Astyanax mexicanus: one gene and its partner. The protein of the gene in region 1 interacts with the protein of each later gene in a biochemical or structural test. Links are inferred from orthologs where the notes say so. Each region holds a gene or a part of one and is shown in the gene's direction. Other genes may lie near its edges. The genes, in order: mapk10 and mapk8ip3.

The links.
Region 2: the proteins of mapk10 (region 1) and mapk8ip3 form a complex in vitro, tested with the Homo sapiens proteins (3 studies listed by BioGRID, with this or other methods). The link is inferred for Astyanax mexicanus from reciprocal best matches to the Homo sapiens genes MAPK10 and MAPK8IP3.

The regions. Positions count from the first base shown.
Region 1 is NC_064424.1:37,254,583-37,258,510, reverse strand, and holds the start of mapk10 (mitogen-activated protein kinase 10), read left to right. Parts: upstream 1-1,170; 5' UTR 1,171-1,266; coding exon 1,267-1,269; intron 1,270-3,928. UniProt on the Homo sapiens protein: Serine/threonine-protein kinase involved in various processes such as neuronal proliferation, differentiation, migration and programmed cell death.
Region 2 is NC_064426.1:27,611,081-27,615,008, reverse strand, and holds the start of mapk8ip3 (C-Jun-amino-terminal kinase-interacting protein 3), read left to right. Parts: upstream 1-1,692; 5' UTR 1,693-1,821; exon of another isoform or gene 1,822-2,000; 5' UTR 2,001-2,558; coding exon 2,559-2,864; intron 2,865-3,928.

The DNA.
Region 1 (3,928 bases):
TGTTTCATAAGGAGGCCTCCTTATCCAACCATATCTCATCCTTTCAATTGAAGAGTTTTTCCCATTAAACGTATCCTTTCTCTGTAATTTTGTAATTACTTACATACATTATTGTTACATTCACTCTTATAAAGCATCATCCTATTCCATTACATTCCAACAATAGTAATAGCCATAGTAAAATGTGTATATTTCCATCATGTATTTGTATGTTCTGATATTCTCAGAAACACAATGGACATAAGGAAATTCTTTACAAAATAGAAGAATTTGCACACAACAGTTAGTTGGCAGTCCAGTGTGTGCTTAATGTTAGCTATCATTTCATCCAAGTTTAATGATGACATAAAAAACTATCATTAATTTGTGCTCGACAGGACTGTATTGTATTGACAAGAACGAGGCCACTCTGATGATATTTATTCATTGCCTCTTGTGCTGGTTTGAAATGGACCAGAATACTTCTGTAGCCTAATTTAGTGCACAGAGCGTCACCTGCTCAAATTCTTATCAGAAATAATTAAATAATCAAGTTGGTACAACCTAACAACCTGTTAAAAATACATCAAAACGCAGGAAATGGCATCTAATTCATTAAATATTAGATCCCAAAATGTGTCCCATATCAAAAATGCTTATTATGCCCTTGCATTTTCCTTTCTATAATATTTTATTATAATTTTTGTTTACCAATATTACTAATTTTAATTATAATGATCAATAATAACGATATGTCGTAAAAAGCAAATAAAACCTAAAAAGGGGCGTGGTTTGAATGCGGTTGGATGAAATAAAAAATAACATAACGTCTTTATCTTTGACGTCACGCGCGCTCGTGCTTTAGTTGCCACGGCAACTTGCTCTCTCTGCCCCGCCCCTCTCTTCCCCTAACCTTTCCTCCTCCGCCCCCCTTCGTCCCCCCTCCCCCCTCCATCGTTCCACAATGGTACAGCCGTCAGCATCAGCGGCGGAGCGAGCGAGCAGCTGAAGCCCAGCCTCTCTCTCTCTCTCTCTCTCTCTCTCTCTCTAGCTCTGTTTCTATCCCCCTCTCTCTGTCTCTCTGTCTTTCGTTTTCTGTTTTTATCCGTCGTCTCTTTTGTTTTGCGCCCATAATTCCCTCCGTCATTTTGGCTTTAGCGACTTTACTCCTCCTCCTCCTCCTGCTCCTCCACGCCTCCCACCTCGCCTCACCGTCATGGTCTCTCCGCGGAGCCCGTCGGGATGTTGTGAATGACCGGGACCTGCGCATCGTGAGGCCGGCGCGGAATGGTAGGTGGCTCGGCTCGGGGGAGGCAGAGACGCCGCTGGTGGAGGGTGGGGATAGGGATGGGATGCACGGATGGATGGGTGGGGTGGATGATATCGACTGCCTGGGAGGCTGTAGAGCATCCATCCAGGAGGGGTGGTGTTGTTTTGCTTTGGCTGCTGCTATTGCTGTTGTTGCTAAACGGCGGTCCAAATACATTAGGCTTTTTTTTTATTAATTTTATTTATGAATGTATTATTTTTAGTGCAAACACGAAAAGAACTGCGTAAAGATGTAACGTTACTTGTATCAGCCTATGTATTATTTACTGACATGCCCATTTTATTCACACTTCCAAAAAAAAAAAAACACACGATTTCACTATATTTTCAGTCTGAACAATATAGTCGGAATTACAGATTGTCATATTATCAGATTATCACGCATGTAGCAGATGTAACTGAAGCCTGCATCGAGGCCCATTGCTGCACTGCTGTACTGAAGGTGACTGCAGAGGAGGTAGCTGTAGCTGTGAAGGCTGATGATGCTGTGCTGAAGTGTTTGCTCAGGCTGTCCTGCCTAACCCCCCCTTCAGTTGTTAGTGTGGATTAAACTGGGCCTTACTGCATCACTATGCCTTCTACCCAATAAAAATACAAAACGAAACGTGTTGACATCAAGCTCTAACATTAGACGCATGCTATATTTTCCATCAATAACAAGCATTAGGTTCACATTAAGCTTAAATGTTAAACAAACATTAAATGTTTGCTAGGAAGTCAAATACCATAAACCAATGTTGAGTTGACACCTCTCCAACATTGTTCAAGTGTTTAATTTTGGTTGGAAATGAAAGTCAATAAATGTCAAAAATCAGCATTGGACAGACATTACGTTTTCCAGCATTGAGTTCACTCATTTTAAAGTTGTACTGACCTTACATTGAGTTGACAACAATCTAGCATTGTGCGGCTGTTTAAATGTGGTTGGAAATTAAGTCAGAGATCCTTAAAAAAATATTTGACATCAACATTCATTGTGGTACAGACGTTGAATTTTGGTTGGATATCAATCAGTTATGTAAAAATGACACAACTGTGACATTGTACAGATTAAAAGTTTGGTTGGTAGTCACCATATTCATCAATAACACAACAGTGAGTCAACCTTCAGTGTTGTTTATGTGTCAGTTTATCAGGAAATCAAAGTGTCATATTTTAGGTTGATCTCAAAATCCAACATTGTACATTTAATTTAGGTTGAAAACTAAAATGAAAAATATATTGCTTTTAGGTTTAAGCTTTAGCTTTAGAAAGATGTTAGATTATTCATTAATGCATCAACATGGCTTTGTATATAATAGGAATTGTTTGTCAGTATGAATTGTAAAAATTTAAAAATGCTGGGATGATCTCAGATTTTCTCCAGAAGTCAGTGATACAACCTTTACAATATTATGCAACAATGCACTCTGTGTATCAAAGATCAGAATAAAATAAATGAGGCTGGGTGATATTAACTGATATGATATTAACTGCCTCTGATATCTAAAATAAACAATGTCTCTATACATAATAGGGCTGTATAATAATGGAAAATTCTGTTGTGATATACATAATTGAAGAAATATATATAAAATCTTTATTCACATCTCTTAGGACGTACTTAACTCCTGGTTTTCCTTTTATGTTTAAGTGATTTTTAAAGGTTCAGGTTTGTACTATATTTGAAGCAGGAATAGTAATGATCAAACATGATGAACAAACATAATAAAAAAAAACTTTGTGTATTAAAGATGAGACTGGGCTAACATAATCTGAATGACATGTATGGTTCAATTTGCTTTATGTGACATTGCACTTCTGCAAATTGCAATGGTGATGCTGAATCGATAAATTGTTATAAGTATTGAAAGGTGCAGATCATGTGCACATTAAACTTTGCTGTTGCCAAATATATGAAGCCCGGAGCGCTTTCTGAAAATGGGCCAGTTCCTGCTGGGATTGTGCCTGACGGGTAGGCTGGTTAGGCTGAGGCGGCGCCAGGCGAATGCAGGCTTAAGCTGGGAGAGTACACTGTGTATCCTGAATGTATTCTGAGTGTATTCACCGCAGACTGTGAACCTGCTGCAGTTCGCCTGGCTGAAATCAATGCAGTGAAGGTCAGATTAAAGCACATGTGTGGTGAACCACAGAATGCATGTGCCTGGATTGCTGGCACTCACTTTTATGCCTAGGGATATGTATTCACCAATCAATAGGGGCACTGCCATTGGTTTCATTTGTAGATTTGGACTACTACACTGTTACGTGGTGCTGTGCTGTGTTTAGGTCTGATAATCTGATATCTTAAAATCATATGTACATTTTATTATATTTTGCAATGTATTTTATTATAAACACAAAAAATATGATTATTAGTTAGGTATAGGTATAGGTGGTATGGATATGTATAGGTGTTATGGAAAGGTATAGGTATAGGTGGTATAGATAGGTATAGGTGGTATAGATAGGTATATGTATAGGTGGTATGAATGTATAGGTATGTAAAGGTTTAAATGTATAGGTATAGGTGGTATGGATAGGTATAGGTGTTATGGAAAGGTATAGGTGATCAGCTTACTACACATCCGACAGCCCTATTGGACAACTGTAAAAATTCATATTGTGGCAAGAACCATTT
Region 2 (3,928 bases), on another chromosome or scaffold:
TCATTTGCACCGATCAAGCATATAATTGACAATGCCCTTGTTTTCCCAAATAATTTATGCATTTTTATAATGACAGACTGTTGTCGTTCTGTTGTATTTCATGTTATTACCCTCCTTTCACCATGTTCTTCAAGGGTTTTAAAAATATCCAGACAAGTGCACTGGGCCTAGCATTTTGTAGACGGAAACCATTTAGGGAACGCTATGCTAATTAGTGTTGCACACTGCAAAGCAACATCATGGCAACCACATGACAACAGCCTGGCAGAATAAGGAATAGGATTTAATAAAACTGCAGCAAAAAATTCTTCAAATAACTTTTCAAAATAGTAAGAGCAGAGTTGCCTGGTTTGCAGTTTTTCCACCAAACTGGGCTTGTCACAGGTGAAAATTGTCAGGGGTGGTGGTGTGCGTTTTTTTGGGCTACTTTTAAAAATTATCATGGCCGCCAAAAAAAAAAAAAAGTTGGTGTTGCCTTATATCTTATGTCATTGGAAGAATCAGGAGAACATAAGGGAGGACAGTGTAAAAGAGAGACAGAAATAACCAGGCGATGAAAACCATATTGAAGAGGAAAGAAGAGAGTTCAGGAGGGGCAAGAACAAAAATAATTTAAAAATGTCATTTTTTTTTGTTTTTGCTAATTGTTACTATGAAATGTTCTTGACTGGGATATAAAACGTATAAATGAACTAATAAAACACTCATGTTACAATATTATTAATGAATTCATGATAAATAGCAATACTGATACTAAATCCCTTATAAACAAAATACTAAGTTGTACACTCAGTTGTTTTGCCATTTGCTTCAAACGTGTGACAGATATATATTTTGGGCTAATTTAAGCTTCTGAAGGGCGGGTTTTAGACCTACATTGGGCTGGATACATTTGTCGGACCTGGCAACCCTGATTTAGAAAAACGCATACAAGTTTTTTCCGGATGGGAATAAAATCACAGAGGACCCCCTGATTTTATTCCCCCCTCCCCCATAAAAGAGAAAATTACCCCAGGACCCCCTGAGAAACTCATCCCGTCAGTATAGAGCTTTACGTTGGTACATCAAAATATAATGACTTAGTATATCAAAATAATGACTTAGCCTCTTAATATAACAACACAGTATCTCAAAATAACAAAATAGGATCTCAAAATAATGAAATAGTAAAAAATGACTATTCTAAATTACTGGGATGGGTTTCCATGCTCTCTCTCTCTCTCTCTCTCTCTCTCTCTGTCTGCTATTTTGATCATATTTCTCTCAATATCCCCCTTTTCCTCTCCCGAAGGGATGCCATTCTCTGCCTGCCCTGCTGTGGGAGGAACAATGTGATGATGACGCCACCGCACGAGCTGGCTCGCTGCAGACGCCGTGACGTAACCCCCGAACGGTCAGGTGACTCCTCCCCTCCATGCAGCGGTATTTGTTTTTATTCCGCACTTGTTTTCAGACAAGCCCCGCCCTCTTCTTGTTACTCGGGATTCTCAAACAGGACCTCAGCGAAGATTCTCACGAGCGTTATGCAAATAGAGCACGACCTGCTGACCAATCCTAGCGCTGTTGGTGCTGCTTGCGAGCTTGCACCATTGGCCAATCAATCCCAGCAGATTGAATATATTAACCAATCGTAGCTGTGGAGGGCGGGGCGTGTCTGAATAGAGGTGGGAAATGAAATAAACGCACCCACACTGTAGCCTGGCTGGGCGATCTCTGAGATTCCCTACCCACCCAGCCGAGAGGAGGAGGAGGACAGCAGCAGCAGCCGCCCCCCGCCGCAACATCATCCACCGGGCTGGGGTCTGTAGTTAACCTAGCTAGGTTGGTTATTTAAATGTCAAAAAAGCTGAATTTGCCAGTATGTTGTAGGAGAAATGATTGCGCCACGTCGTGGTGATGGGGGCAGCTACTCCAGCATAATCCAGTGTATGTAAGCTATTTATTACCATATTATTTATTTATTTTCTTTTTTTTATCCTCCATTGATTTTTTTCGCCCAGTAATGGCTGGGCTCCCGGGCTGCGGCGGCTCAGCAGCAGGTGCATCGCGGGCGGTGATGTGATGGATTCCGGCCGAGTGGGAACGGGAGCGCCGGTGACTAGTCCAGCCTCACCCGATACGGACCTAACGGAGGATTAGCTGGGTGTGAAGAAGGGGAAAGATCGGGATTTTAAGGCCGTGCTGTGGCGCAGGGAGTGGGGGGGGAGAAAGGAGAGAGGCTAGCTTAGCTCTCGGCTCCTCTCCCATCATCATCACATTCACATCTACCTAACGTTCAGCCAACTAACTAGCTAACCCAGCTACCGCTTGTCTGAATGAGGCTGCTGGGCACCCCTGGAGACACGTGGGGGCACGTCCAACTGATGACACCCCTTTAAAATATCTCTAGCTAACTACACAGTGAGCTAACCAGCTAGCTCCTGAAACCAAGCCCCCCTGTTTTATTTGGATGACTCAGAGAACCGCTAGTTAGCTCCCACAGCGCCTCCATTACTTTGGCCAGCATTTTCTTTTTGTGATTTTCGGTGGAAATCTCCACCACCGCACCTCCAGGCGAGATGATGGAGCTCCAGCTGGACGAGGTCGTCTACCAGGACGACTACGGCTCAGTGTCCGTCATGTCCGAGCGCGTCTCGGGCCTGGCCAACAGCATCTACCGCGAGTTCGAGCGACTCATCCGGAGCTACGACGAGGAGGTGGTGAAGGAGCTCATGCCGCTGGTGGTCAACGTGCTGGAGAACCTGGACGCCGTGCTCACTGAGAACCAGGAGCACGAGGTGGAGCTCGAGCTGCTCAAGGAGGACAACGAGCAGCTCATCACGCAGTACGAGCGCGAGAAGGCGCTACGCAAGCAGGCCGAGGAGGTGAGTCAATTAACGTCAATTAACGTAAAGCTAGAGTTAGTTGACGTAAACGTGATTGACGTATAGTGCACGGCGTCCAGAGGCTGTTTTATAACAGTTTTATAGAGTTAAATGTTTTAAACTAGGAATCATTTTTAGGGCTATAATGAAGTATTAAGTTATCTCCGACAATATTTCGGTTGTTGTAAACATAACTTCTGTTAATAGTGTTTTAATGCTGCTGTGAAGTGTTATAACACAATATAGCACAAATATTGCCACATAGGGTCACCTTCTCTCAGATTTCCCTCCCTTTTTGACACTGTCAGGCAGCTTAATGCCATTTATAAGTATTACAAAGTCAATGTTCTGAGATTGGCAATCATTTCAGCAATATAATGTAATAATCCTTTATTCTATTATGAAGTCAAATTTATAGAACTAGGAATCGAGGATATAATTAAGTATTAAGTTATTTCAGTTGTAAACACAATTTCTGTTGAAAGTGTTGATTTTACTGCTGTTGTGAAGTGTTATAACACAATATATCACAACTATTGTTATCTCAGATTGTATGCCATTTATAATCTTATATGAAGTGTTATAAAGTCAGTGTTATGACACTGGCAATCATTTCAGCAATATTATGAGGTTTAAACTAGTTATCCCCATCAATGTCACACCGCTAAATGTCTGAGCTGTTATAAAACGTGGTTAACAAATTAGTGCTTAATTTTTTCTTGTTGTTATTAGGTGTTATGACACATTTTTGTAAGCCTTCATTCCCTCACACACATACAGTAAGCTGTATTGCCACATAGGGTCTTTTTGACAGTTTTGACTGTCTTTTTGACAGTGTCAGACAGTTTTTTGCCATCTATAATCTGTTATGAAGTGTTATGAAGGTACATTTATGACTTTATGAATCATTTCAAGGCTAAAAGGAAGTAAACATAAGGTCTGTTGGAAGTGTGGTTGATTTTAGGGCTGTTGAGTGTTACAACACTTTCATATTTACATTGACATCCTAATTGTCATTGGGAATCATTTCAGCAACAATTATGAGTTTTACAGTGCTAAACATC